Linked DNA regions of Ovis aries. The protein of the gene in region 2 interacts with the protein of the main gene of each other region in a biochemical or structural test. Links are inferred from orthologs where the notes say so. Each region holds a gene or a part of one and is shown on either strand. Other genes may lie near its edges.

The links.
Region 1: the proteins of UBE2D1 (region 2) and SIAH1 form a complex in vitro, tested with the Homo sapiens proteins (3 studies listed by BioGRID). The link is inferred for Ovis aries from reciprocal best matches to the Homo sapiens genes UBE2D1 and SIAH1.
Region 3: the proteins of UBE2D1 (region 2) and TRIM63 form a complex in vitro, tested with the Homo sapiens proteins (3 studies listed by BioGRID). The link is inferred for Ovis aries from reciprocal best matches to the Homo sapiens genes UBE2D1 and TRIM63.
Region 4: the proteins of UBE2D1 (region 2) and RBX1 form a complex in vitro, tested with the Homo sapiens proteins (95 studies listed by BioGRID). The link is inferred for Ovis aries from reciprocal best matches to the Homo sapiens genes UBE2D1 and RBX1.
Region 5: the proteins of UBE2D1 (region 2) and OTUB1 form a complex in vitro, tested with the Homo sapiens proteins (2 studies listed by BioGRID). The link is inferred for Ovis aries from reciprocal best matches to the Homo sapiens genes UBE2D1 and OTUB1.
Region 6: the proteins of UBE2D1 (region 2) and DTX3L form a complex in vitro, tested with the Homo sapiens proteins (5 studies listed by BioGRID). The link is inferred for Ovis aries from reciprocal best matches to the Homo sapiens genes UBE2D1 and DTX3L.
Region 7: the proteins of UBE2D1 (region 2) and RNF125 form a complex in vitro, tested with the Homo sapiens proteins (4 studies listed by BioGRID). The link is inferred for Ovis aries from reciprocal best matches to the Homo sapiens genes UBE2D1 and RNF125.

What each region holds. Positions count from the first base shown.
Region 1 is NC_056067.1:16,329,749-16,334,007, forward strand, and holds the start of SIAH1 (E3 ubiquitin-protein ligase SIAH1), read right to left. Parts: upstream 2,801-4,259; 5' UTR 2,305-2,800; coding exon 2,214-2,304; exon of another isoform or gene 1,468-2,213; intron 762-1,467; exon of another isoform or gene 702-761; intron 1-701. UniProt on the Homo sapiens protein: E3 ubiquitin-protein ligase that mediates ubiquitination and subsequent proteasomal degradation of target proteins.
Region 2 is NC_056075.1:305,094-309,033, reverse strand, and holds the start of UBE2D1 (ubiquitin-conjugating enzyme E2 D1), read left to right. Parts: upstream 1-1,140; 5' UTR 1,141-1,334; coding exon 1,335-1,358; intron 1,359-3,940.
Region 3 is NC_056055.1:240,766,372-240,769,871, forward strand, and holds part of TRIM63 (E3 ubiquitin-protein ligase TRIM63), read left to right. Parts: intron 1-471; coding exon 472-705; coding exon of another isoform or gene 706-725; intron 726-1,800; coding exon 1,801-1,823; intron 1,824-2,154; coding exon 2,155-2,279; intron 2,280-3,500. UniProt on the Homo sapiens protein: E3 ubiquitin ligase. Mediates the ubiquitination and subsequent proteasomal degradation of CKM, GMEB1 and HIBADH.
Region 4 is NC_056056.1:217,993,073-217,996,764, reverse strand, and holds the end of RBX1 (E3 ubiquitin-protein ligase RBX1), read right to left. Parts: intron 3,623-3,692; coding exon 3,537-3,622; intron 2,897-3,536; coding exon 2,833-2,896; 3' UTR 2,823-2,832; intron 1,553-2,822; coding exon of another isoform or gene 1,490-1,552; 3' UTR 501-1,489; downstream 1-500. UniProt on the Homo sapiens protein: E3 ubiquitin ligase component of multiple cullin-RING-based E3 ubiquitin-protein ligase (CRLs) complexes which mediate the ubiquitination and subsequent proteasomal degradation of target proteins, including proteins involved in cell cycle progression, signal transduction, transcription and transcription-coupled nucleotide excision repair.
Region 5 is NC_056074.1:38,767,050-38,771,237, reverse strand, and holds the start of OTUB1 (ubiquitin thioesterase OTUB1), read right to left. Parts: upstream 2,801-4,188; 5' UTR 2,780-2,800; coding exon 2,722-2,779; intron 555-2,721; coding exon 493-554; intron 246-492; coding exon 147-245; intron 1-146. UniProt on the Homo sapiens protein: Hydrolase that can specifically remove 'Lys-48'-linked conjugated ubiquitin from proteins and plays an important regulatory role at the level of protein turnover by preventing degradation.
Region 6 is NC_056054.1:187,820,983-187,825,142, reverse strand, and holds the start of DTX3L (E3 ubiquitin-protein ligase DTX3L), read right to left. Parts: upstream 2,801-4,160; 5' UTR 2,771-2,800; coding exon 2,581-2,770; intron 1,548-2,580; coding exon 1,342-1,547; intron 1-1,341.
Region 7 is NC_056076.1:25,521,249-25,525,229, reverse strand, and holds the start of RNF125 (E3 ubiquitin-protein ligase RNF125), read left to right. Parts: upstream 1-1,181; 5' UTR 1,182-1,487; coding exon 1,488-1,651; intron 1,652-3,981. UniProt on the Homo sapiens protein: E3 ubiquitin-protein ligase that mediates ubiquitination and subsequent proteasomal degradation of target proteins, such as RIGI, MAVS/IPS1, IFIH1/MDA5, JAK1 and p53/TP53.

The DNA.
Region 1 (4,259 bases), on a different chromosome or scaffold from region 2:
AATGGACTACATGGAATAAACGCTAGAACAGAAACCTGGATCCTAAACCACTAAGGAACACTGTATAAACAGTTTAAGTTCAATGAAATCAGTTCTGACTGGAATTTCCCCTGCCTGTGTTCAACTGCCCTGCTCATTCTATTTCTTCCCCATTCTTAAGTCAGCTGTTGACAGCCTCAGTGAGTTATACATGATCCAAAGGATCACCAGGGTACTGGCTTCTGATTACTCTTTCTAAGGGTGAATATTATCTGCTAAAGAGATCTATCTGGGGAAGGGAAGGTCTCCTGCCATCCCATCATCCATCTCCATGGAATGTTAACCCCAGCTAGATCTTCATCTTATTTCCTACCCATCTGTGGCCCCCTTCAAAAGTGAGGAAGCATATAGGAGAAATAGAGGACCACCCTCTAAAAGGTATGAGTCTGGTATTCAGAACTAAATCATTCTGCTCTACTTCCGCTCTACAATATAAATCTGGTATAATTTGCAAAGAGGAAGGAAAGTCAGGAAAAGATAAAGAATAAACAGTATCAGAAAGACACAACATTAGGGGTGAGGGACAGAGTCAACAGGTAAAGAATTCCTTATATTCTATTATAGAGTTCACCAGAGTTGCTGAAGCATTCATCAGCACAGTACTAAACATTATTTAAGAAATAAATGCCATCTGGAAAAAATGATCAACAACGTTAACTAACCTGTCAAGCTGAATTAAAGATAAAACAAGCGCCTTTTCCCAGGATGTAGTGCACTGCTTTCTTGGGGATGACAAAAAATCAGTCCATTAATGTCCTAAGAGTATATACTCAATAACCACAAGCCATATCTCTACAAAATCAAAATTTAACAACTCCTAAAAGTTAATGTTTCCTTAATTATAATTGTTATTCTGTTAGAATTCAACGTTGAAAAACTAATGCTGGTTATCAATGAGACCACATAAATGCAATTTGGATTCTATTACTCATAGACAGGGCATCCCAGGTGGCTCGGTGGTAAAGAAGCCACCAGCCAAGGCAGAAGACACAGTACCGATCCCTGGGTCGGAAAGGTCCCCTGGAGGAGGAAATCGCAACTCACTCCAGTATTCTCACCTGGGAAATTCCCATCGACCAAGGAGCCTGGTGGGCTACAGTCCACGGAGTCACAAAGAGTCAGACCCCAGGTACTGATCGACTGAGCACAAGCACACACTCGCAGATTACTCAAGGACAGACACCTTAAATGGGGGTTGAGAGTGAACCCTCTCCCCCAGGAAACCCCAAAATAGGTCAATTCCACTGTCACTAAAGGAATATTCTAGAGTTCACGGGGAAACAAAAGTATCACAAGGATTCTATCATAACATGGCTCATCGCATAGATTTAAGACAACAGGAATCAACTCTCATCACTGAAGCCCTGTATAACCAGTGTTCAGCCCAACAAAAACACTATAAAGGAACTTTCATGAAATCCAGTTTACCTCTGAGATTTTTTCTGCATATGATGATCCATGCATTTTATTTTAGGTCACTAGTAAAACAATGGCTTAGCATTGCTGAAGTGTCCCGTATGTATGCTTATTTCATGGTCCATTTTATGCGGCTCATTTAAGAGAGCAACATAGTAACTGGGAAGTAATTCCCTGGGCACAAAATCTAAGCTGATTCCTTTCAAATCACTAAACCAAAACCAGCTGGTCACTAAACTCAGTTTGTATTCAACATAATATAACTACTAAGCAAGAAAAATATTACTGTTTAATTTTGTGACCTAGAAAAAGTTATACATTTATCAATAGTCCAGATTCACATTATAATATACATCATTATTTTCCCAAACATACAAAGCACAACTTAAAATTACTATTCAAAGTGTGAAAACAAGCAAAATATGGCTTCAATTTCTGGTGAATTTAAGTATTACAGGACAGTAGCTGCTAAAACTTCCCAAAGTTCGGCAGGCGGAACTCAGTCCATCTTACACAGAAAAGTAATCCACACACAGCACAGCAGCCGTGCAGTAGGAACCAAGGACTTAAGTGTCTGGACAGCTCTGCAGCAGTCATGACATAACCCGAAGTTTGGTTTAAACTGAGAAAAGCACAGCTGATCAAAAGAAATCACTGCCTGCTCAATTTTGTTGCAGCAATTCCCTGGTCCGTTTCAGAGGCTCAAAACAACTTTCCCGTTCCACAGTTTAAGCAACACAGTCTCTTAATAGCAGTACCTTTTCTCTTCCTTGTCCCAGATGCTGGTAAACAAGTGAGCAAGATGCCTCTCCAGGAGTACAGAAAAGGTAAGGGAGACTTCCCGGTCATAAGTCAGAGAGCTCATAGCCTTTCCCCCAGAAGCAAAGACAACTTGCAACGGAGGGCTCTCCTGGATATCTTCTGTTACTAAACATGTCCCGGGTCTAGTTTTCAAAAGAAGGCACATGCCCTACTCCATACACTCCATTCACTCCTCAGAAGCACTGGCTACTGAAGAAGAGAACTGATGCCCCCTCCTGTTCCAAGAGGAGTCGACCACACCTCCCCAGGAGCTGAAATTTGCCTGCGTCTCCAAAAATGGGAGCCATTGCTGAGCTGTCCTCTGCTGGGCCCTAAACCTTCGTCTGTCTCGGAAGTCTGTCTTCCCCAAATTCATCGGCTAGGCTCCTGCCAGCTCGGTGAAGAACAGGGCAGAAGGGTGCGTAGAGGCCACTGGTCGACTACGTGCGCTCTCGGTGCCAGCTCAAGCTACTACTGCAGGATCCGGCCCGCAGGAGGGAAGCCTGCGCCAACGCAGTGCCAGGGGGCCGCAGGCTCTCTCTGCACAGGGCGGCGGCTGCCGCGGATGGCGAGAGGCGGGGCGGCGTGCGGGGGCGGGGCTTAAGGCTCCGCCCCACTCCGTCTGGGGCAGCTCCCAAGCGGCTCCTGGGCAAGGAGCGTGCAACTCCCACCCAGGCACCCAGCCGAGTAAAACCCGGCGTAAAACCCCCCCGATCCTCACTCCCCGGCGATACTGCGCAAGCCATCAGCTTACTAGAAGGCTGAACTCCATTTCTGTAGGCCCAAACAGTCGGATATGGGCAATTTTGCATGGTTTCAACCCAAAGGTCTACACAGAATATATGGGAAATACGCGACCAGACAAGCATCTCTGCACTATATTCTGCCAGTTAACCCTGCGGACGCTAGATTTTTACAAAGTAAAAGCATTCTCCGTACTTCGTTCAATAACTATTTGACGGGCGTTAACTACCTTATCTCCACAACTGTAACTCGCTTCTCCATTTTTACCACCATCTGCACCTTAAACTCCTTCTCCCTTCGAGATTTTGTAGTGAGAGTACTAAGCACACATAACCATATTAAACTCCTGCTTTAACCCTCAAATTTAGATTTTATTCTCTTCCCACTCTAGGAAAACCATCTTAAACGGCCTCATTAAACAGAGTAGCTTGTTTTGTTTTTAAATAAGCATTACCCTTGCCCCAGTAAAGTCCAGGGCCTCCAATCTGCATTGCGTCAGCTCAGGCATTCAGAGGTTTAACCTGTCATTACATCATGCTTAGTGCAGCCTTTAAAGGCACCAAGACCTGGTGTGAGTGTGAACCCTGTGCTCTAAATTGGCCATTTTTAGCATAAAATTTTAACTCTTGATCACTTCCCCACCCTATTAGTAGTGTGTTCAATCACCTCAATGTCATTTTGGTATTAGGCTACAGAAAACATCATTAGGAACAGAAATATAACTGAAAAGTCTGTTCACTGAAAAATATAAATTACAATAATCTATGTTTTAATTTTCTAATACATATTCATTCTAAATAGGTCTCAGGTTTCTAGACCAGGAGACTCCAAATGTTTTAGAGCAGAAAAACTTCAGACAGATTTAGGACAGAGTCCAAATTTGTAAAAACAAGTAAAAGGGATGACATTTCTCAAGCAAAAAAATGTTTTCCCAGACTTCCAAAGAACCTATACAAAAAGAACCTATATACAAAGAACCCATACCCAGATCCTTACAGCACCATCTAAAAATCATTAATCTGTGGACAAACCTCTGAGTAAGTGAGCCAGGACAGTAACAATGGAAGTGTCTGGAGTCATCTGCACTCGAATTCAAACTCAGCCTTCACCACCTGGCTCAGCTGTAAAACTGGGACAGTATTTCTAGCCTTGCATGGCTTTTGTCTGGATTAAGGAAGATGGGTAAGTTATATATATCATAGGTGGCACAAATTCCAAAATATGTAAGTGCTCACTTACACAGTTCCAAAAGTTAACTT
Region 2 (3,940 bases):
AGGGGGAGCTGGAAAAATGAGGGTGGGCCAGCATGCAGAGAGAACCAAGATCTCAGGAAAAGGAAAATAAGAGAGTAGTCAGACTCCAGACTGGTTTTAGTTTTTATGTTTATTTTCGATGTAGAGGGTGGTGAGAAGGTAGAATGAGAGGCTTCTAAATTAAATTTCAGATTCTATTAATATTTCTATCATTCTTTCACTATCTTATTTCCCTGAACATTTTCTTTTAAGTTACCTGAGTGGATTTTTGTTCCTTGCTCTTTGTAAGCATTTAGAATGGTATGGTGGCTATTGTTTAGGGTTTCCAGGAAAGCTTTCTTCCAACCCTCGCCTTGTAACACAATCTGATTCCTGGCCACAGGGAAGAAGGCTGGACATGTCCAGGAAGTTTTTGGACATGAAATGCTGAAACTGCGGTGAGAGTTTGGCTGGAAAGAGAGATCTTAAAATCATTATCATATACATAAAAACAAGGAAATAATTTTTATAGAGCATTTTCAACATATTAGGTAGTGTGTTTGGCACATCATATTAATATCAGTTAATTCTTACAATAATATATGGAGATTATTTTTCTTTGGACACGCAGAAACTGAGGCTTAGAGAATTTAAGTGCTACAAGGTCATACAGTGGATAGGGATCAGAGCTTGGATTCCATCCCAAGAGAGGGGTCAGTCCACAAACCCCACGCTTCTCCGGCTATGTTGGGTGGCCTTCCAGTTTACGGGAGGACACTAGGTCTGTCGTCTAGGAAGATATTAATGGCGAGAGGTCTGAGATTGGAACTCTAGGGCACTCTAACTCTTGATAAGAGGATTTGGTAACAGAAAAAGGGAAGATGAAAAAAAAATTACAAGATGTAGCACACATTAGAATCCGGTACATGTTTTTCGAGCTAATTTGTTATTCTCATTTTACAGGTTGGGAACTCCAGTTTCAGTTACTTGATCGAAATCCATCTGCAGAGACTAACCCAGACCTGGCAGTGGGTGAAGGTCTCCGAACCGGGCAGCGGCCGAGTAGGATGCAGGAACTGCATTTCCCAGTACGCTTGGCGGGAGGGGGCGGGGCCGGGCGGCCGCAGATTCCTTCCCAGAAGCAAAAGCGGAAACAAAAGAGTGTCGCCGGCGTCCCCGCCCGCACACTCGCACACTAGCGCTCGGGCTCACTCAGAGCAGGCACCCGCGCCCAGAGCTAGCCAGACAGCAGCGACCCGGGAACCCACCCGGCTGAGCCAGCCGAACAGCCGGCGATCCGAGCCCGCACTACCCCACGCCCCCGAGCCCTGCAGCCGTCCCCCGCCGGCCAGTGTCCCAGCCGCCCTCCCTGACCGATGGCGCTGAAGCGGATTCAGAAAGTGAGTGCCGGGGCCGGGCCTGGGGCAGCGGGGCGGGCTTCGGCTCGCCGCGCACGCTGACCCCAGTGGTGGTCCCGAGAGACGCGCCGGGAGGGAGCGTGCAGGGAAGATGGGCTAGGGCGGGGACCGGGGGCCAGAGACGCCGGCGGGCCAGCGGGCACCCGACAGGTGAGGTGGGAGCAGCGACAGGTCCCGGGTGCTGGAGGTGCTTGGAGGCAGGGGGCCCGATGTGCTCTCACGCCGGAGCTGCGCCTGGGGATCCCTGGCAGGAGAGCTGCTTCTGTCTCCAGACCTCCAGACCTATGTGCCGCTGGGTCACTGGATTTTGCCTTACACCCGGCTAGCTTTGGCCCTTGTCATGCTGCTTTCTTCATGCTGTTTCTGAAACCTGTCCTCTTTTATGATTTTGCCTTCCCCTGCTCCCGGGAGGGCATGGAAGGTGTGGTGGGCCTGCAACCTTCCTCCGCGGAGCTGTTGGGTTTGTTCTTTCTCTCCTCTGCGGTTGGCTCTTGCTCAGATGCCCGAATGGGCTGGAAAAGCCCATTTGGGACCGAGAAACCAGGAGAAGCCTCCTGCCCCTTCTATTTTGGTGCCTCTGCTGCTGCCACTTGAGGTCACATAGCTGTAGTGAAAACATAGTTGCTGATACACAACAAGATGACCTCCTGGCTGTGATTCATGGTGAGTCAAGCCAAGCAATTTTTTTTTTTTTTCTCGCCATGATAAACTTATATGTAAAGTTTGAGACACAACAGAAACTGTCACAAATTAGATAGTTCCATGCTTTGACACATGGGTATAGAATGAGGAAGAAATGTTTATATACATTAAACAAATATGTTTCCGTCCCAACTCAGTGTAAGGAATTGTTTTCTCATGAATGCTTTTTGCTACCGTCTCTAATGTGAACATGTTACAGACCTGAGATTGGGGCGTTTTCTTTCTGTTCACTTTTGTTTCTTGTTGGGTTATTTAGTCTGTTCCCTTTCACAAGCTTTAGGCTTTACTGTTATGGTTCATGTGGAGAACATTGAGAATTTGTTTTTTTAATGAGAAATGCGTTCAGCAAGTTAAGCCAGAGATGGACAGCATGTTTTCTAAAGGATTTCAGAAGAAATACTACCAAAAAAAATTTTTATCAACTTCTTCTGGCACGAATCAATAAGGCAGTGATAGGGAAGTATACATTGTATTCTCAGTTACCATTGATGTCATCTTCTGGTACAGAGGACAGCAACTTTCTGACCCAGCCAATTTGGTGGTGGTGGTGATGGGGAGGGGTCAAATGATCCGAGATCTGAGAAATACTGTTATTTTTTGTGCCTGTTAAGGTTACTCTCACGGTAAAGCACATAGCTAAAATCAGCATGTGTTGATTACTATGTTTTCTGATTTGAAGATAATGCAGTTACACACTTTTTTTCATATACATGATTCTAATTTTGAAACCCCACTCAGCATCTTTGCCATGCCTTGTGTACTTTTAAATGATGATGTAATGTTGGCTCACATTTGAGGTAAACACACATTTTCCAAGGAAGTCTTAAAATTCCATTTCCTTCTTCCCTAGTTGTAAGAGTTTTTTGCAAGACTACATGTATAGTAGCTTCAAATAGTGTAAAATTTGTCGACAGTAAGTGAACATTCACAGAAAATGGACACTGTTAAGTGTCCTGGGCAATGTATCAGTCTCCTTGCTGAGCCAATGTCTTTGGCTTGTATTTATAATATGGCATATACCCAAATCATATTTTTAGTCATTATTAGTTATTAGTTTATAACAGAGTTGTCTGGTTAAAAAAAAAAAAAATTGGATATGACATAGCATCCCATCTCTGTGTGTCAATCTTTGGCTCCCCTTCTCTGTTACCAAAAAAAAGTGATTTGTACAGATCTCTTTTCCATTGATCACTTGTTCAGACCACTCTCAACTTTAGGAAGTATTTTGTTTGATTCCCCACATTTTCTCTTTCTTTACTACCTTCTTGATGAGAAGTGAATTCCAGGGGAGGTATGCTGTTTGCCATGTGAACAGTTAAGTTACAGAGCCCTCTTTGATATCATCAGTATATAAATTCTTTTTGAATCTTCCGTGCTTCAACAAAAGAATCCATGTTATTAACTTTTGGCCTCTCTTTTAAAATGTATTAAAGTAACACTGTCAGATAAGGTCATTGGGTTGCGATTTTCCTGGGCCTACAGTGGCAGGCTTTGGAACTGTGCAGAACCTTAAAGTACTTTCAAGAGTGAAAGGCAGGGGAACAGCTTCTAGGGTAGTACATCAGAATCAACCATGGGACATTTCAGACCATCCCCACTGCTGTAGTCCATGGGGTCGCAAAGAGTTGGACACGATTGAGCCACTGAACTGAATGAACCATTGCTGTAAATGGAGAGATGCTGGTGAGTCCCTCAGATGGGCTGCTGTGGAAGAAAGGTCATGAACCACTGACTGACATTCTAGTCTACTCACTGTTGTTCAGAGAAGGAGCTTGAGGTTTCGAGTGGAGTGCTTTGTCCAAGTTAATCTCTTAAGAAGTGATTTGGCGTGTTTTAAAAAGGTCATGACTTCACAGTTTTTC
Region 3 (3,500 bases), on a different chromosome or scaffold from region 2:
AGATGCTGCTATTATACCCAGTTTACAGGTAAGAAAACTAAAATGTAGCGTCAGTGTTGGACAGCAGGGAGCCTCAATGTGGATACCATTGCCAGGGGTTGGTGGGGGGCTGCTTCTCCACTTCTCTGGGGACCAAATGATGCAGAATTTCCCAAATCTGGTCTTGGTCCTAAAGTGGAGAAAGAGTGTGACTGGGGGGCACACAGGAGGCCCATATATGTCATCCTGCCTGACCCTAGAGTCTCCACTTTCGAGGAAAAGTGTAGCTTTCTCTACGACGCCAGCCTCTAGCAAACCCTAGCAAATGCTTTCTTCCGGCTAAGGCTTTGTTTCGTGTTCTGCAAAATGGGGGTGTGGTAAATCCCTCCCAGCTCTAGACTCTTCATTCCTAGCACACCCATCCCAGGAAGGAAGGGGTAGGGGATAGGAAGGAGGACCTGCAGGGCGTGACTCAGAGATCTCTGTCCCCAGGAGAACAGTCACCAGGTGAAAGAGGAACTGAGCCAGAAGTTTGACGTGCTGTACGCCATCCTGGACGAGAAGAAGAGCGAGCTGCTGCAGCGGATCACGCGCGAGCAGGAGGAGAAGCTCGGCTTCCTCGAGGCCCTCATCCAGCAGTACCGGGAGCAACTGGACAAGTCCACCAAGCTGGTGGAGACGGCCATCCAGTCTCTGGACGAGCCTGGTGGCGCCATCTTCCTCTCGGTGAGCAGTCCTGGGAGGGGGTGGGCCCTTCAACTCAGCAGCTCCAAGGGGCAAGTTGGGCTCCATCTCTGATCTCCAAAGACTATGCCTTTGGGGAAGTTATTTCAAGCTCATTCATATTTAAAGACTCAGTTTCCTCATCCGTATATGCTGTGCTGTGCTTAGTCACTCAGTCGTGTCCAGCTCTTTGTGACCCCATGGACTGTAGCCGCCAGGCTCTTCTGTCCATGTGGATTCCCCAGGCAAGAACACTGGAGTGGATTGCCATGCCCTCCTCCAAGGGATTTTCACAACCCAGGGATTGAACCCAGGCCTCCTGCTTTGCAGGTGGATTCTTTACTATCTGAGCCACCAGGGAAGTCCAAGAATACTGGAGTGGGTAGCCTATCCTTTCTCCAGGGGGACTTCCCCACCCAGGAATAGAACCGGAGTCTCCTGCATTGTAGGCAGATTCTTTACCAGCTGAGCTACCCAGGAAGCCCCTATCTGCATAGTGAGCATGTAACAATTTCTCCCTCCCTTCCTCTCAACTGATTTTATGAGGATCAAATAAAAGGATGCTTGTGAAATGGCTTTGCAAGCTGCAAAATACAGTGCCCATGTGGAGACTATTAACTGAGCACCTGGCCTAGGCCAGTTGCTGAGATGGAGAGACAGATGAAAGAGACAGCCCTACCCTAGAAGAGCTTGTTGGGGGAAACATGAAGGGATCAGCTATAAGATTTTGCAAGGAAGAATTAAGTTCAATGAAAATTTCCTAAGCATATACTGTGGGCCAGGCTTTGTGTTAGACATCGGGTATAAAAAGGTGATTAGAATATGATTCTTATCTTGGGGATTTCCGTGTTTAAGAGTGCTTAGATGAATACTCCTAGAATCCAAGCTTCCTGCCACAATAGGAGGGTCCTAGGATAAAGACCAGACCATGGACAGAGGGAAAATCCACGTTGTTTGGCTGAAGCCGATGAACAGGTCAAAGCTGGGCAAGGGTACGGCACCAAGTGTGCATCTGCAGTGCCTGGTCCCGGTTTTGCTGATTTCCTGGGGCTCCCCTTTCTGCAGTTCTAACCCTTTGCTCTTTCTCTCCCCCAACAGAGTGCCAAGCAGCTCATCAGAAGGTCAGTGTCTCCCCAGGGCTATGAGTCAAGGCCCCAGTTCCCCTCAGGGCCTCTGGCATGTTCAGAAGGCCTCCTCCTTTGCATTAGTTCTGCTGGGAGGGGCTACCCCCGGGCTACCTTTCCTAGCCTTTGCATCCCTGCTGTCTTAGACATCTATTCTGCTTGTGACCCAAGGGAAAATACTCCACCCTCCAGGGAAGCCTCTGGGTGCAAGGCTTGGGTGTGGACACAAGCATGTGCCCTGGTGTAAGTTGGAGCTAACACGCCTCCTTCCTTCTCTGGAACCAGAGATCTCACTGTGCCCCTCCCCCCTTTTCTCTCTGCCCCACAGCATCGTGGAAGCTTCCAAGGGTTGCCAGCTGGGGAAGATAGAGCAGGGCTTTGAAAACATGGACTACTTTACTTTGGACTTGGAGCACGTAGCTGACACCCTGAGGACCATCGACTTTGGGGCAGGTAAGGGATTATTTCCCCTGGAGGTCAGCTTCCCTCCCACTGAGCCCCACAGGGAGGCAGATACACTGCCCAACATACCCAGATATCCATCAAACTTGCACAGTCGACATCCGGATGAGCCCAGCTCAATAAACTGTGTATGGATCTGCTATAGGGAGGAACTTGGGGTGATAGAAACAGCAAGGCAATTTGGAATCAGGCGGTTCAGTTCAGTTCAGTCACTAAGTCGAGTCTGACTCTTTGCAGCCCCATGGACTGCAGCACACTAGTCTTCCCTGACCATCGCCAAATCCCGGAGCTTGCTCAAACTCACATCCATCAAGCTGGTGATGCCATCCAACCATTTCATCCTCTGTCGTCCCCTTCTCCTCCTGCCTTCAGTCTTTCCCAGCACCAGGGTCTTTTCCAGTGAGTCAATTCTTTGCGTCAGGTGGCCAAAGTATTGGAGTTTCAGCTTCAGCATCAGTCCTTCCAATGAATATTCAGGACTGATTTCCTTTAGGACGGACTGGTTGGATCTCCTTGCTGTCCAAGGGACTCTCAAGAGTTTTCTCCAACACCACAGTTCAAAAACATCAATTCTTCGGCACTCAGCCTTCTTTATGGTCCAACTCTCACATCCGTACATGACTACTAGAAAAACCATAGCTTTTAGGCAGACCCTTTGTTGGTAAAGTAATGTCTCTGCTTTTTAACATGCTGTCTAGGTTTGTCATAGCTTTTCTTCCAAAGAGCAAGCGTCTTTTAACTTCATAAAATCAGGCAGAAACTTCTATTTTTTTTTTTTTTAATTTATTTTTGGCTTCCCTGGGTCTTTGTTGCTGTGTGCGGGCTTTCTCTAGTTACAGTGAATGGACTTTTCTCGTTTTGGAGCACAGGCTTAGTTATCCTCCCGCAGGCGGACTCTTTCCAGACCAGGAATGGAACCAGTGTTCCATGCGCTGGCAGGCAGATTCTTAACCACGGAACCACCCAGTTCTGCCATTTCTTATCTTGCATGGCATTTTGATGGTTCCCTCCACCTCTCTGAGCTTCATTTCCTCACTTTAAACTTAGGTTACAAATGGGCCTACTGATAATGACCACCGAATGATGCTGGGCAACAAATAAGACATTGATTCAGAGGCCTGTGTAGGGTACTGGACATATACTAGTTATTGCCTAAATCTAGTCTTAGCTTCAGCTTCCTATGCTATAAACTTGGATGCTCAGGCACCTTAA
Region 4 (3,692 bases), on a different chromosome or scaffold from region 2:
TCCCTTACTCCTTTCAGAGGACACAGCCCCCTAGCCCTCACAAACGTTCCATGACCTAAGCAGAAGCTGGAGTCGGCTGCTCTGCAACCAAGGGTCTTTATGAACACCCAGGCAGAACTCTGCAAATATGTGACGCCAGCTGTGTGAAAACCATTCTTCTGCATCGCTTAAGTGTTCCTGCAGTGTGAATGACCACCTGAAAGGGGTTTAAAGGAGGTGATTTCTGCCGAGGGTGGAAGGAACATCGACGGCAGCAGCCACCTGGCCCTGAGCGACTGCACTGCTGGCGGCCAAGTGGGGAAGCTGGGTTCCACCCAGGTTGGACCTCAAAGTTCTTATTACTAAGCTAGAGGTTCTCAAACTTTTGAGTCTCAGGATCCCCTTATGATCTTACACACTGAAGAAACCAAAGAGTTTTTATGGGGGTTGCATCCACAGATATTTACCACAATGGAAATCAAACTGAGAAATTTAAAAGATTTTAAAAGAACAAAAACCCATCACGTTAACATAAATATTTTTATTCAAAGTAACTAGTTTTCAAAACAAAAGTTAGAAGAGTGGCACTGTTTTACATTTTTGCAAATCTCTTTTATATCTGACTTAGCAGAAGACAGCTGGATTTGCTGCTCTCTTTTTTCATTCAATACGTTGCTTTGTCTGAAGGAAAAAAAGAAAAATTGGCCTTGTACAGACACGCAGCCGGAAAAGGAACTTCGTGAACCTCCTGAAAGTGTTTCCATTACTCCCGCAAGTCCTCAGCACACACTTTGAGAATCACTGCAGTAAATTAACCCGCCTCTCAGTTAAAGACTAAGAGACTGAAGTAGTGTTAGAACTGGCAGTTCTGTCCACAGCCAAGGCATCTTAAACAAATTACAAAGGGTGGTGGTGAGGAAGGGAAACCTGAATTCTCCCGTTAACTCTAAATGACACTGTTTTCCAATTTGAGTTCACAGATTACTCCATCGCCAGCCAAGATGACATATTAATTTTTTTTCAAGTTAACTTTTCTAAACTAAAATGAGAAAGCAACATGTCATACACAAAGTTAACACCTGTACAGCGTTCTCACAGTTTATAAGGCCTCTTTCTGTGCCCACATGATCCTGTTTAGTCCTTAGCAGCCACTTCACGGAGGAGGAAGAGCTCGGAGCAGACAGACCACTCGCCCAAGATCATCAGCAGCAGCCAGGCTGTGGACCAGGCTTCCTTGAGACCAAGCGACGTGCTCACAGGACGATCCTGCTTTGGCTCTGATGAACAAACACCTCACTTTCAAAACCTAGCCTTCCACCCTAGAAAGGGGCGGGAGGCCCTTTACTTGTGTTCACTTTTTGCACATACACAAAAGACAGCGTCTGTTCTAGAATCCAACTGGATTTTATTTGACACAGAATACAGTATGGCTGCCAGAATAGCAAACTGAAAAGACAAAGCAGAAGAGACACAGTTCTATCTAATTTATAATAAGTAACAGGAGGGCAAGTCATTCAGTGGATAACAAAAACAGTTGAGCTTGATGGAAGAATTCTTTTTCTAGTGCCCATACCTGGAAGACAAAGTAAATTATTAATTCATTCCTTATCGTGATTCCCTGTTTGAGACTGTAACACCTGCTAAAAATATATCCACCAATCTGGTTAAAACTTTGAAGATTGGGTTTCAACCCTTGTCTCTGCCCCTTTCAGCCTACCGGCCTCCTGTAACATTGTCCCTACCACCCTCTTCATAGTGATGGTCCCCCACTCAACTGCACCCACCTGACTCTTTCCTGGTGCCAGGCAGATACTGGGCAGTGACAGGGAGGAGTCACGGCTAATGGCTGTGAAAGGGAGCTGCACTTGATGGCCAGTATGCAGCTAAGACAGCTTGAATCCTCCGCCCTCTTCCCTGTGGGCCGCCTCTTCCCCTCAACTCCCATACTTGGGCTAGTTTAGGGTAAGACCCCTACAGAGGATAGTAACCGAACAGCCTTCAGTGTCAAAATCTATCACCAGTTCCAATTACAGCCCTGAGTCTGCTGAGCACCACCGAAAGAACTGTCGAGAAACTAGCTATGGATCTCAGGTCCTTTCTGATTTCCTCAGAGGCCAAAACTTGGCTCCAGAAAGATTATAACCAATGGTAGGACATTTTTTCCACATGTAAGATTTCTTGAACACAGAATCCATTATTATCTTAATCTTTGGCCATGGTTCTTAGTGGGTAGTTCGCCTCTAATGAAAATACTTTGCTACACAGATGGAGACCAGGGCACCAGAATTCTGCATCACTGTTGCCATCATCCTGAAGGGCTGCTAGATTCTTTAAGTACTCCTTATAAGAAATTCGCTTAAAAATTCCCTAAAAAAGTCCTCACAGGGTAGAGCTCCAGCTTGTTAGTGAGAATAACCTAGAAGTTATCCATCAGTTTAAAGCATGCTGAAATGAAATTTGCTTCTTATGAATTTGTTTTCCCAGGGCGCTCATAACCACAGCCAGGCAAAGTCACCAGCTGGATAAAGCGACAGTGTCAAAGCCTAGCAGGAGGATTCGTCACCCCCCCACTTCTTAGGCTCAGCCCTGGGCACGTGTATGGGCTACGTGAGACAGTTTTGATCCAAGATGGCACCCTGAGCCTGCTCCACGGCACAGTCAATTACAAAGGTCTCTTGAGAACTTCGAAAATCCCCCTTTCCATTAAAAATTTGATAAATTAACTGAAAATTCAACAGATAAAAAAGCATTTCACAGACAAATACAACAGGCATAAAAACATATGAAAAGCAGCCCAACTTTACTCAAAGTTTTAAAAAATACAATTGAAAACTAATTTTCACCTGTCAGTAGCTAAGATGAAAACGTCTGATAACAAAGCACTGGCAAGAAATGGAGGAGGAAGTCTTCTGCTTCACTGTTGGTAGGGGCTGTGAATTAGTACATACTCTTGGGAAAGGAAAAAAATCTGACACTATCAAAAATAAAAACATACATACTCTTAAACCAGAAATTCCTCTTTTAGGAATTACTAGTACAGACTGATCATTTGAAGTTTTGAAAATTTGCACGCCGTGTATTACTTACACGCTACTACAATTAACAGCAGCAACAATAATGATTTAGTTGAGATAGCCACAGATGCTGTATCAGAATTAATCCCTGTGAGATAAACCAATGAAACATGATATAATTCTAGCCCAAAGCAAAGACAGATGACATTAGTTAGCCCCTGGAGCCTTATTCTTGATGTGATTGTGGAAATATTTAATAGCTTGCAAAATGAGAATTTGCAAGCTTCTACTACTACTTCCAAAGACCCTACCTAGATGGCTGGGAAACTCCAGGCTGCAAGTTTCTAATGCTGGTTCACCTTATACACTTTCCACAGAGACGCGTCCTCATCTAACTAACCGAAAGCTACTTTATGAACCAGCCATGTTCTATGTCTTCATCTTCTAAAACTGTGCACCCTCCAGCTTGACGTGGGTCCAAGAACAGTACTGACCACAAAGCCCAACCTTACATACGATGTCGAAACAGCCGGGGACACCTACTTTTGGAATTCCCACTCTCTGTTGTCCAACGGACACACCTGCCGTGTTTTGAGCCAGCGAGAGATGCAGTGGAAGTGGAAAGCATGCTGGAAGAAAAGATACATTTTATTAAAAATAATTCTGTGCAGGCTCAGCCGTCTACGGACAATATATCTC
Region 5 (4,188 bases), on a different chromosome or scaffold from region 2:
AGACTCTGCCAACCTGTGAACCAGTGACCAGAGGGCTCCCCAACCGTCCACCCCTCTGAGGCCAGGCCCAGCCAAGCGCAGGTATCAAGTGGCCAGGCTCCTGCCCCCACCCGAGGGCTCTTCCTGTCCCCTGGCCAGGCTCCCACCTTGATCTTCTGTTGATAGATGTTGTCATCCTCAGCATATTCTTTGTATAGGACAGAGAGCTCCAGCCGCTCCGAGACCAGTGGGTTCTGCACAGCAATCTGTGGGATGGGGAATCCATTACACTCTGACAGGCAAATGGAGTGACCCACACCTGTCAGCCCGAACATCTAGCTGAGAGTGGCTGGGCCAGTCACCCAGCGGCACATGGACCTCACATTCTCCCCATAAAGGCATCTAGTATCAGCTCAGCCTGGGGAGGAGGGAGCTTCCACAGTAAAGACAAACGGTAGGCCTCAGTCCAACCAATGTATCCCCAAAGTAAGGCCACTGGCCACAGCCACTCACCTCTTGCTGAATTCGGTCCTGCTGAGCCATGATGGCTTCATCATAAGCAAGACAGTTAACACCTGGAAAAAGGAAGAAGGCCAAGTATTACAGTGGGCCCTGGCTCTCCCCACTCCAGGAAGCTGGGCCGAGGACAAGAACGGGCCAGGAGAGCAGACGTGCAATCTGGAAGCATGCATCATGCCCTGCTCCACCCCAACTGTGGGATCTTGGCAAAGTCCTTCCATTTCCTGGGCATGAGTTATCTCATCTTTAAAGGGAGGAGGCCAGGGACTTCCCTGGAGGTCCAGTGGCTAAGGCTCCGAGCTCCCAATGCAAGGGGGCCTGGGTGTTAGGTAAAAGACGACCAGGACACCAAAAGAGTGTCTAACAGGCTTTAATGGCGAAGCGCTCCCGGGCGGGGTTCCCGGACCCGCCCAGAACGTGTTAGAAGTTTGTTTATATATGCACGCTGCGAGGGATGGCCAGGTTAGTGGATGGGGGTTTGGATAGGTTGCCGGGCCGAGGCGTCACGGGCTGATACGTCCTTCTACGTGGCGGAGGTGGGGCAGCTTTAGCTGGCAAACTGTGCTGTCACTGGTCCCCGGGATCTGGGAGGCCCCTTCCTTAGGGACTTCCCCCGCCGACGGGGGAGGGAAGGGGCGGCCCATCATGGCCCCCCGGGGTCCGATCTTACACTGAGTTTGATCCTTGGTCTGGGAACTAGATCCCACATGCCATAACTGAGACCTGGCACAGCCAAATAAGTATAAATAAATGGTGGAAAATAAAGTAAGCAGGCCAAGGTGATCGCCCCCCAGGGTACACTCTTCCAGCTCGAACAAGCCCTCTCCCCCTGCTCTCTAACATCACTTCCGAGCAGCCCGGAAGGCCCCTGAGCCAGGTCTATTGAGGAAAGACAGATGAGGAAGCAGACCATCTTCGGCTAGATGAGCGCTTTGCTTTCCTCAGTCACACCATTCCTCCACCTGCCATCCTGGGTATTCGTAGTGGTGCCCATTTTACAAAGAACAAAAACGCAGACAGGTGAAATCACCTGCCCGAAGTCGCGACGAGGAAGACCTGTGGTCAATCCCAGGTTTGTCTAATTGCAAAGCCTGGGCTCTTTGCCACAATAACTCCCCTGGCACCTCACTGCAGAGGCTCATCATCAGCTGTGAATAGAGACAGATAGCACCACCTTCCTCCCTTCACTGTGATGCCCTGAGGAGATGGTACCTTAAGAGGTGTAGTTCAATACTCATCACTGAGTTGGGCGGGTCCACCCTGTGGGCCCCATGCCAAGCAGCCACTGGTGAGGAGCCAGGAGACCTGAATCCTGGCTCTGGTTCTTTCTTAACTTACACGATCCTAAACCAGTCCCTTCGGGGATTGGGGGGAGGGTCTAGGTCCCCAAAAGCTGTTTTTCAGTGTGCGGTTAGAGAGGGAGCTGTGTGCTAAATGACTTTTAAGGCCAATCCTTTTGATCTTGAGCAGGCCGGGGCCTCAGCTGGGCTTCCACCCACCCCCGACACTGCACTGCAACTGGGCCATCCCTCCCAACCCTAGTGACCTCCTCAGTCCCCAGTGTCTAACTCAGGGGTGAAAAGAAGAGGGTGGGACCGTTTTGAGAGGTCCAACTCTTCAGGGGTCTAAGGAAACTATGCCGAGACAGGAAGCAAGGGGCTGCGAGGCTAGGAGAGGGGACTCTACCGGAAACGAAGGGCGCTGCCCTCCTGGGCACACACCTACGGCCGCTCACAACCCCGGGCGGCCCGCAGCATCCCCAGCGGCCCGCCCAGTCCTTTGTGCTCCGCAGCCCGGCGTAATTCGACGCCCTCCCGGGCTCGGGCCGCTCTGGAGGAGGCGGACTAGACGGGGCCGGACTAGGCCCGGGCCTGACTGCCAGGTCCGGGGCGGGAGAGCCGGGACCCGGGAGCCGGACGCCCAGCGGGGAGGGGGCTGGGCGGGGGGTGGAGGGGCGGAGCGGCCTAGGCCCCGCCCCAGGAGCGCGCGACAGGGAAGAGTCGCGGGCCGGAGGCCGGCCCGCTTTCTCTCCCGCCGCCCGGCCGGCCAGGGGTCGCGGCGGCGGCTCCTTCCATTGTGAGGGGGAGGGGAGGCGGCGGACGCGGGGGAAGGGGCCCTCCGCTCGCTTCGCCGCCAGCCGCCCCAGCCCTGGTTTCCTCGGGAACCGGCCATCCGGCATCGCCCCCGCTAGCCCAGGCCGGGCGGCTCTCCCCTGGTCGGTACCTTCGGAGTCGCTGCCAAGCGGCTCCTGCTTCTGCTGCTGAGGTTCCTCCGCCGCCATCTTTAAACAGCGCCGCACTGCCGACCGCTTCCGGGTTACTAGTCGGCCTCCCCCCGGAAGACAGCCCCTCCTCGAGGCCCCTCCTTGGTAACGCCCCTAGCAACGGGATCCCCTCGGGCGTAGTCACCCGAGGGGCTCGCAGTCTCGTTCGGCGGCGGCGGAAGCCGGGGAAGTGAGGGCAATCCCCGCCCGCCCTCCTCCCGCACACTTGCTCGGTTCCATCTTTCCAGGCTCCCAATGTGCCAGGTGGTGATAAGAGCTTCCTGGGGCCACTTGAGTTTTCTTTTCACTAGAGTTTGAAACGCGGATTGTATTATTGAGATAAGCAGGAAAATGAAATTCAAATCACGGAAGGCAATTCCCGCTGCGGGCTCCAGAACTCAAGACAGGCGAATGCAATGAGGATCACTTGGCCGAGGAGACCGGGAATTCTGCTAATATCCGAGCTCTGGGAATTCACCGCCCCCCTCCACCGAGTCTCGGTTCCGAGCGGGCTTTGGTGTCCTGCTTCTGACCGAGAGACCACGTCCCTCGGGGTCGACCTTACTTTGGACTACCTGCCCTTGTGGTTATGAGAAAATCAGGATTTTTTTTTTTTTTAAGATAGAAGTTGACAACAATGAAAAACAGATTCGTGGTTCCCAAGGGTTGAGTCGGAGTAAGGAGGGAAGTGGATGTGGTTATAAAAATGAAACAGAAGTATCCTTGTGGAGACAGAAGTGCTCTTTATCTTGAATATATATGGAGATCCTGGAATATGCTGTACTGTAGCTTCAAACGCAAGATGTTACCAGTGGGGGAAAGTGGGTAAAGGATACCCAGGATCTTTCTGTGTACTCTGTTAAAATCACCTGTGAATTATCTAAAAATAAAACTTAAAAAGTGTCAAGGCCTTGGATGCTGAAGATGCAGTTATTTAGAGAAGTCACCTTCAGGGGTACTGTTCCTTTGCCTTTCTCTATGGAGGGCCTTTTCCATGATATGACAGTGGTCTCTTAGCACTTGAGGAGGCCGTGTCTGAGCCCCAATCAGATCCCTCCGTTCATGATAATACAGGTGCAGAATAGGATGAATATCTTCATGAGCTACATCCAGTTCTGGAGTAGGGACGGTTGGTGCCTGGGCTCACCACACTGCCCACAGTGGCGCTCTCACAGCAACGCTACACATGCCAAGTCTTTGCCCCAGCAACATGGCAAATTACTATTTCCTAGGTCACCACCAATCCTTGTGTTTGCTTCGAAATTCAAGGAAGCAAAGGGGCTACCCATTTGGATCCCACTCCTACCACACTGGGCTTCTCGGGCGACACTAGTGGGAAAGAGAAGCCTGGCAGGCTGTCTATCGCCCAGAGTCACAGAGTCAGGCATGACTAAAGCCACTTAGCGCAACACACACCCAGAGTACAC
Region 6 (4,160 bases), on a different chromosome or scaffold from region 2:
AAATCCAAAGTCCTGACCCTCATCCCTCAAAGACCAGACTTCTGCTACCTCTTCAAGGTCCTCTCTCACTCTCTTGCTCTCTGCCCTCCAGCCACAGTGGCCTCCCTCCTTGAAGCTTCTGGGCTCGGGATGTAAGCTCCAGTCTGGGTGTGTTGGGGGTGGGGGTGGCTGTGTCAGCTTTACACTTGTTACTTTCCCTCTGCCTAAAATCTTTTTCCCCTAGAAATCCACTTAGCTAGCTCCCTTACTTTATTCGTGTCTCTACTCAGAAGTCACCTCATTTGAGAGGTTTTTTTTCCCGATATCCTATTTAAAACAGTAGTCCTTTACTATCATTTATCCTGCTTTATGGGCTTCCCTGGAGGCTCAGTGGTAAAGAATCCACCTGCCAATGCAGGAGACGCAGGTTCAATCCCTGGGTCTGGAAGATCCCCTGGAGGAGGGCATGGCAACCCACTCCAGTATTCTTGCTGGGAAAATCCCATGGACAGAGGAGCCTGGAGGGGTACAGACCATGGGGTTGCAAAGAGTCGGACATGACTGAATGACTAAACAACGACAAATTCTGCTTTGTTCTTCTTCCTAGCAGATATTTATCACTGGCAGATATTTTATTCCCTATCTATATGATTACTATTATTATCTGGTTCCCTAGAAGGTAAGGTCCCTGAGGGCAGGGTCTGCTTGTTCCTGGCTGTACCTTTGGCTCCTGTGACAGTGCCTGGCACATAGCAGGCAGCTGATTCTGATTTGTCAAATGTCTCTGCATGGCTGGTCCCTTCTCATCATTCAATTCTCAAGCCAAATATCACCTCCTTAGTGACTTCCGATCAGAAATAACACAAACTCCTTCTCTTTCCTTGCCCCAGCCCTGTCACTCTCTAAGGCAAAACCCCATTATATTTTCTTCTTAGCACATATCACTCTCTGAAATGACTTTAGTTATTTTGTTTACTTGCTTATTGTCAATGTACTTCTCCATCCCCAGCAGGGACCTGTCTGTTGTGTTTATCTCTGTGTACCTCTCAGCTTCCCTGGTGGCTCAGATGGTACAGAATCTACCTGCAATGTGGGAGACCTGGATTCGATCCCTGGGTTGGGAAGATCCCCTGGAGGAGGGCATGGCCACCCACTACAGTATTCTTGCCTGGAGAATCCCCACAGAGGAGCCTGGCAGGGTACAATCCATACGGTCACAAACAGTCGGATACGACTAAGCAACTAAGCACAGCTGTCTTCCAATGTCTACAACAGTGCCAGGCTCATAATAAATCCTCAGCAAATGGTCCTTGGACTGGAGAGGAAGTTGCAGGGACATACATAGCTCCCTTCAATACCCACCTTCTGGAGACAGGAATCCACGTCATTATGAATGTCCTTTACATTTGGAGGCTTCTCATCGTGGCTTGCCCCTTTTTGTGACTGTGTCGAAGAAGACATTTTGGTCTTCTTCTCTTCTGCATTTTCATTGGGTTCCAGGAAAATAGTCACAAGTTGGTTGTCGACCACAATTTGGTGCTCTCCTTTTTTCAACACACCATCCTTACCTTCAGTAGAGATATTAAATATACACATAGAAATGAGAGCAATTTCAAATAACCCTCTTACTCATGCATCTGTACCTTGCCCCAGCACCCTCACAGTAAGGGCTGCTCCCTGCATCCTGGAATGGTGGGTTAACCAGAGGGTGAGGGGCCTATACAAAACTCTAAAAAAAAGAAAGTTACTCAGTCGTGTCCTACTCTTTGCCATCCCATGGACCATACAGTTCATGGAATTCTCCAGGCCAGAATACTGGAATGGGTAGCCTTTCCCTTCTCCAGGGGAATCTTCCTGACCCAGGAATCAAACTGGGATCTCCTGCATTGCAGGTGGATTCTTTACCAGCTGAGTCACCAGGGAAGTCCCAAAACTCTAAAGAAGGCAGCTTAAGTTATATTGTAGAAAGGAAAGCTTAATGATGATGGAATATCATCCACTCTTTAAAAGTCACGTTCCTGAAACTGTCATGAGTTTCCCATTTCAATGTCATGGAATAATGCTCATCACAAATCAAGTGAGAGGAGCAGGAATCAAAGAGTAGATTCAGGTTTATAACTACATATATGTTTGCTGACACTCAGAGGAAAAGGCCAGGAGGAAATACACCAAAATATTCACATTCACATTGTTTTTCTCTGGGTGTTTTCTTCTTTATTATTTTCTCCCCTTTCCTTAGTATCTATAACTCTTGCAATTCTAAAAAACGAATCAATGGAATAATAATGGAAAACATCAAAGTGAAATACCTAAGTGACAGGGGCGTCTGGGGGCGGTACGGGTGCTCTGACAACACGGGGACACTGGCAAGTATCAACCAGACCAGAGACTGGGCACTTCTGGGCTGTGTCCTCTGCGTTGGGGTTGCGTCTGTCAGCAGGAGCCCCCACTTCCTGGCTCCCAACGGACGGTACCAGACTTTCTCCCACCCTCTCTCCTAGATAAGCTTGAACTGGGTCTGCATGGAACGCCCGGGGGGCCCCTCCAGGGACGGCGGCTGCCCCCCCCCCCCCACTCACCAAGCCCCGGCCCTCAGCTCACCCGCCCTTTGCTTGAACTGCACCCGGAAGGTGTTCGAGGTGGGGTCGCTGCGGTCCAGGGCCACGACGGTGCACTCCCCGCCGCCCGATTTCCGGCTCTGGAAGTACTTTTCCAGCTTCCATTCCAGGCGCGTGCCGGGATGGGACACCCGCACGAGCAGCGGGGACGGCGGGCCGAGGCTCGAAGCCATGGCTGTCCGCTCGGGGATGGCGCCGCGAGTGGCGGCGACGCAGCTGGGCCGGGCCGGGGCCGGGGTGCCTCCGCCCCGCCGCTCTGGGGCGCAAAGTTTCAGTTTCGCTTCTCCGGAGATCCTTCTCGGTTCCTGGCAGGGCCGCACCCTCTCCTCTCTTCGCCGCCCTCCTGGCCGCGGACTGCCAGGTGAGTAGGTCCCTTTCTCTGTTCCGCGGGGGGTGGGCGCAGGGGCTTCCCGGGGGTCGTCTCCTGTGGGCTCGCGCCGGGGGCGGGGAGAGGCGCGCGAGGCACGGGCGAGTCCTGGGCTTCCCTGGGGAGAGTGGAGACGGGGCAGATGCTCAAATCAGATAAAGTTTCTCCTGAGTTTGTGATTCCTTTTAACTCTTATTGTTACTGTTATTTGCAGGGAAAATGTAATTCACATTCTAAGTTCAGGTTAAACTTAACCTACATTCCTAAAAATTTGAATTTGTTCACCTGAATTATGCCATATCACCTGTTACCTCTATCTCACTCAGTGCTTTAGACTGGCTCTTGGGGCTTTTCCGCCCTCCTTTCTCTATTTAGCCAACAATGCTGGACTTCACGGGGGCTTCCCTGGTGGCTCAGGGTTAAAGAATCTGCCTGCCAATACAGGGGACCCAGTGACACGAGTTCCATCCCTGAGTGGGGAAGATCCCCTGGAGTAGCAAATGGCAACCCACTCCAGTATTCTTGCCTGGAAAATTCCATGAACAGAGGATCCTGGTGGGCTACAGTCCACGGGGTCGCAAAGAGTCAGACAGGACCGAGCACGTGTGCACTGAACTGCACGGCTGCCCTGTGTACTATGGAATAAAGGTGAGAGCCGAGGTACCACACCTCACCTGCTAGTAACTGGAGTCAGACTTGGGACTCAAGAAGCAAAATCTCTCAAAGCCCTCAAGAGGACTTTGAAGTAAAGCAGAATCTTAAGAGAGAAGGAGAGGGAGGGATGGGGTGCATCAAAGGCACAGGGACTGCCCTATTTGAAGCACAGAGGTAGCACGGAGGCTTTGGAAAGGATGTGATGGATAAGGGAGATGACAGAGGAAGGGTCTAGTGGAATAGAATGTGTCTAATAGAAATATTGGGCTTCCCTGGTGGCTCAGATGGTAAAGAATCTGCCTGCAATGCAGGAGACCTGAGTTTGATCCCTGGGTTGGGAAGATTCCCCTGGAGAAGGAAATGGCTACCGACTCTAGTACTCCAGTATTCTTGCCTGGAGAGCTCCAAGGACAGAGGAGCAAATATAATGTGAGCTACATAGTAATTTAAAATTTTTCAATAGCTAGAATTTTTAAAGTACACACAGGTGAAAATAATTTAGGTTCTTTTGCTCACAGTATCCTAAATTAATCATTTCAGCA
Region 7 (3,981 bases), on a different chromosome or scaffold from region 2:
CTCCTTTTCATTATTCATGACTCTACTCAAATATCACCAAAACCAAAAAGTCTTCCCTGACCTTCTTATGCTTACTGCCCCAATCTCCATTCCCAGTTCTATCTTACTCTTGGCTCTTATTATCTGAAATGAACAAGTTTATTTATTTATTTGTTGATTCCTTATATCGTCTCATTAAAAGTAAAATATGGGCAAAACTGGATGAAGTGTATAGGATTATTGTTTATTATTGTATGTGTGTATTGCATATGCATACTATGTACTACTATGGGTTCTCTTAATAATGAGAATATGAATCTATAATTGTTGCTGTTGCGTGGGTGCTCAGTTGTGTCCGACTCTTTGCAGTCCTATGCACTGTAGCTCACCTGGCTTCTCTGTCCATGGGATTTTTCCAGGCAAGAATATTGGAGTGGAGTGCTATTTCCTATTCCAGGGGATCTTCCCGATCCAGGGATGGAACCCGGCATCTCTTGCCTCTCCTACATTGGCAGGAGGATTCTTTAGCAACTGCGCCACCTGGGAAACCCTGAATCTATGATTATCTTCCCCCAAAATGTTTTTTAAGTAAGTTCTGTGAGAACTGTGATTTTTGCTTGTTGGAAACTGTGTCCCCAATCACCAAAACGGAGTCTGTCACGCAGTGGGCACTCAGTAAGTTTTATTAAATGCGTGAATTAATAACTGGTGTATTTGGTCATAAATATTCAAAGAGGATGGAGAGGAGTACAAACAACAGCAAGAGATCCTAAGGTGAGGAAACTGGGCGGGGAGCGGGCAGCGGAGGTTGGGGGGAGGGGCGGTTGTGGGGGGAGGGGGACGTTCCTAGAACTTAGCGCTGGAATCCCTATCCTAGAGGTGGGACTCAATTCAGCTCCAAGAACTCTTCCCACTACAGCTTGCTACCTCTCCATTTATGGAGGGTTGGTTAGATGACGGAAGTAGTGATTAGCACTTTCTTCGGAGACGCTCGTAGATCCTCTCTGTGGCTACAGCAGTAATCATTACATTGCAAGACCGAGAGGACCATCACCTTACAAGTGGGTGTTCTCCGATTGCGTTCAGGGAAGACCACGCCCGCACTTTCATTCACTCGCTCTAGTGGTTCGGAAGGAGGAGTCGTGCGATTGCCGCCGAGGTTCACCGCCAGCCCAGGTCCTCTGCTCTGCAGTTGAGGTGTCAGATTTCAATCCTCCAGGGCCCGGGGACGTCTGGCGTGCACCGTGCGCCCCGCCGCCGCCGCCTCCCAGCCTAGACTCGGGCAGCGAGCGGAGGGAGGTTCACTCCGAAAGCGGCCGCGTACTCGGCCTGCCTTAGACCCAGGCTGGGCGCCGCGACCGAGGCTGCTCCCCGGCTGCGCGGCTGGGCGCGCGGGGAGGCGGCGATCGCAGCTGGGCCGGGACTTCCTTCCTCCACCGCAGGACAACAAAACAAGCCGGCCGCAGGCACCGAGCTTTTGGCGACCGTCTGGGGCCGGAGGTGCAGGGATGGGTTCCGTGCTGAGCAGCGATAGCGGGAAATCTGCGCCAGCCTCGGCCACCCCGCGGGCCCTGGAGCGCCGGGGGGACCCTGAGCTGCCCGTCACGTCCTTCGACTGTTCTGTGTGCCTGGAGGTGTTGCACCACCCCGTTCGGACCCGCTGTGGCCATGTGTAAGTGCCAGGGGAGCTGGGTTTGCGCGCCCTCCCCGCCCTGGGTCGGGGGTCGGGGGGGTGGTGGGTGATGCTAGAGGAGTCGTGGGAATGGGGGACTGAGATGACAGCACTTCGGGGAGACTGATGTGAGGAGAAACCTGGGCCCGTCGAGGGCGGACCACTGGGAAAGTGCCCAGTCGGAAAGTGACACAGGATTTCAAGGGGGGAGAAACACCAACCAGCGGGTCCTACAGCGCTCCCGAGAGCCACCTCCTCTGGCAGCCCAGGTGTGGAGCCCCCGGGATGCGGATCCAGGGCTGGCGAGCTGAGGAGGGTGCGCAGGGGTGGAGGAGCAGCACGCGCCGGGAACCCAGACGGGGACTCGGCGGAGCGCAGTGGCCGCTCCCCTCGGTTAATCGCGCGGCGCTTCCCTCTCCGCCGGGAGCCGGAGTTGGTTTTGGTTTGCTCGCTCTGTGCACGTGTGGTCCAGAACGCCTGCCGAGGCTGGTCTGTTGAGCAGGCAAGGATCTGTGCAAAGTGTCCTTCCACCCCAACTTCCCTTTCCCGACACAGACGCCCAGGTCTCTCAAAGAACCGTCAGATTGGACAGTCCCAGTGACTTTCTGTGGCCGCCAGGGTGGGATCTGGGGCTTGAATATTACCCCCAAGCCTGTGAACGCAGCCTTTTAAAGCCCAGTCACCCGAGTGACGGAGGTTGCTGACTACCTGCGTTGCTCACCGCCCCCTCACACGGTAGGAAGTAGGGATAAAAATAACTGTCTTAAAAACCACATGCACGCTTTGTAACGAAAACCCTCTGGGAGCGCACAGCTGTGGTCGTTTCTAGGAAGAGTTTAAAAACAAAATCCCTGTATAAAATTGGCACCTCTTTAACGTGTGCCTGAGTAACTAGTAGTTGGGGGTTGGGTCTGTGAGTTTGTGTTCTGTTCGTTTAAAAAGCTTTCTTCCGGTGGATGCATTGGGTGTGTGACTGGGCGTGTTGGTGAGATTGGCGGGGGCCGGGCGGGGCAGATTTCATAGAGCCTGAGTGAAAACCCACTTAATGCCTTCTTTGGATCACCGACTAGTTTGATGAAGCTCCGAGGCAGTAAGTGCTTTTTTGGCTTACCGGGGAAAAAAGAAGTGTCATAAATTATGAATGCAAGTGCACAAAACGTCTTTAAAAGGACTTAGATGGTCCTTGACACCTATAGCCTAGCATTTGAGAAACAGTTTTCAACTCCGAAAAGCCCAGCAGAGAACCAGGGATAAAAATCTGCTGCCCACACAATGTTCAAAGCAAGAGTGCCCCTGGGCATTATTTTGTGGCTGTATTTTCAGGGCCTGTCGTTTCAGCTTTGTACTTTAAATTCAAGGCTAATTTACGTCCTGCCTGATACCTGATGTAGTTTCCTAGCCGTCCACATTGACATAATTCCCCGGAGGTCAAGATAGAAGCCAAGACGTTATTGTATCATGTATGAAATATATTGATTAGCTCAGAGCAGTAAACCCTCAGGATAGTTACATTTAAATTTAGTCTGTATGGCTCAGCGGTAAAGAACCTGCCTGCCAATGCAGAAAACCTAAGAGGCGCGGGTTCGATCCCTAGTCTGTATCAGAGTTAAAGCTTTTCAGTTGCGGGGAACACACACCGTGGCATCAAGTCTGGACGACTTTCTTTTGTGGGACTGAACCGGGCAGCATTGCTATTGGAGATTGTTATCTGACGGTTTTCCTTAGTTTGGATTTTTGAATGCTGCAGCTTAGTATGTGCAGTGTTTTGCTTCTGCTAAAGGGTAATAAAAACTTGTGAAATGTTAAATCCTGTGTTTAATCTTTTTCTTTGTTAGAGTGAATAGGAAACCAGCAACTGGGAAAAAAAGCCATGAAGTAGCACAAGGGCTGGACAAATCGCCTTCCCTCACTTTATTGTTCTTTGTTTTGACAAAGCTATGTCCATTGTTCTGGCTATGGGCACAATTTCCATATTCCTACTTTTGGCAAATTTACTTGGGCCTCTTCCACTTTGTCAGTGTTAACTAGAGTCCCTTCTGCTCTGGAGATTGTGAGCCCGCCTAACGCCGTTTGTACTTCCTAAATGAATTACTCTCTTCCATTGAACTTAAATTGGAAAATGAGGAAATGAAATGAAACTGCTATATTATCCCAGACTTAAGCTAATTTCCAAACTTATTAACCTAGGTTGTTTATGCTAATTTTGGTTTATAAACCAGTTTCAAGTTGAGCAAATATAATATAGCAACAATACCTTGAATGTTGTACTGTAATGTTGCACATTAATGTTGTAATGTTGCACGTATGTATGTACTGTGATGGAGTAAAAC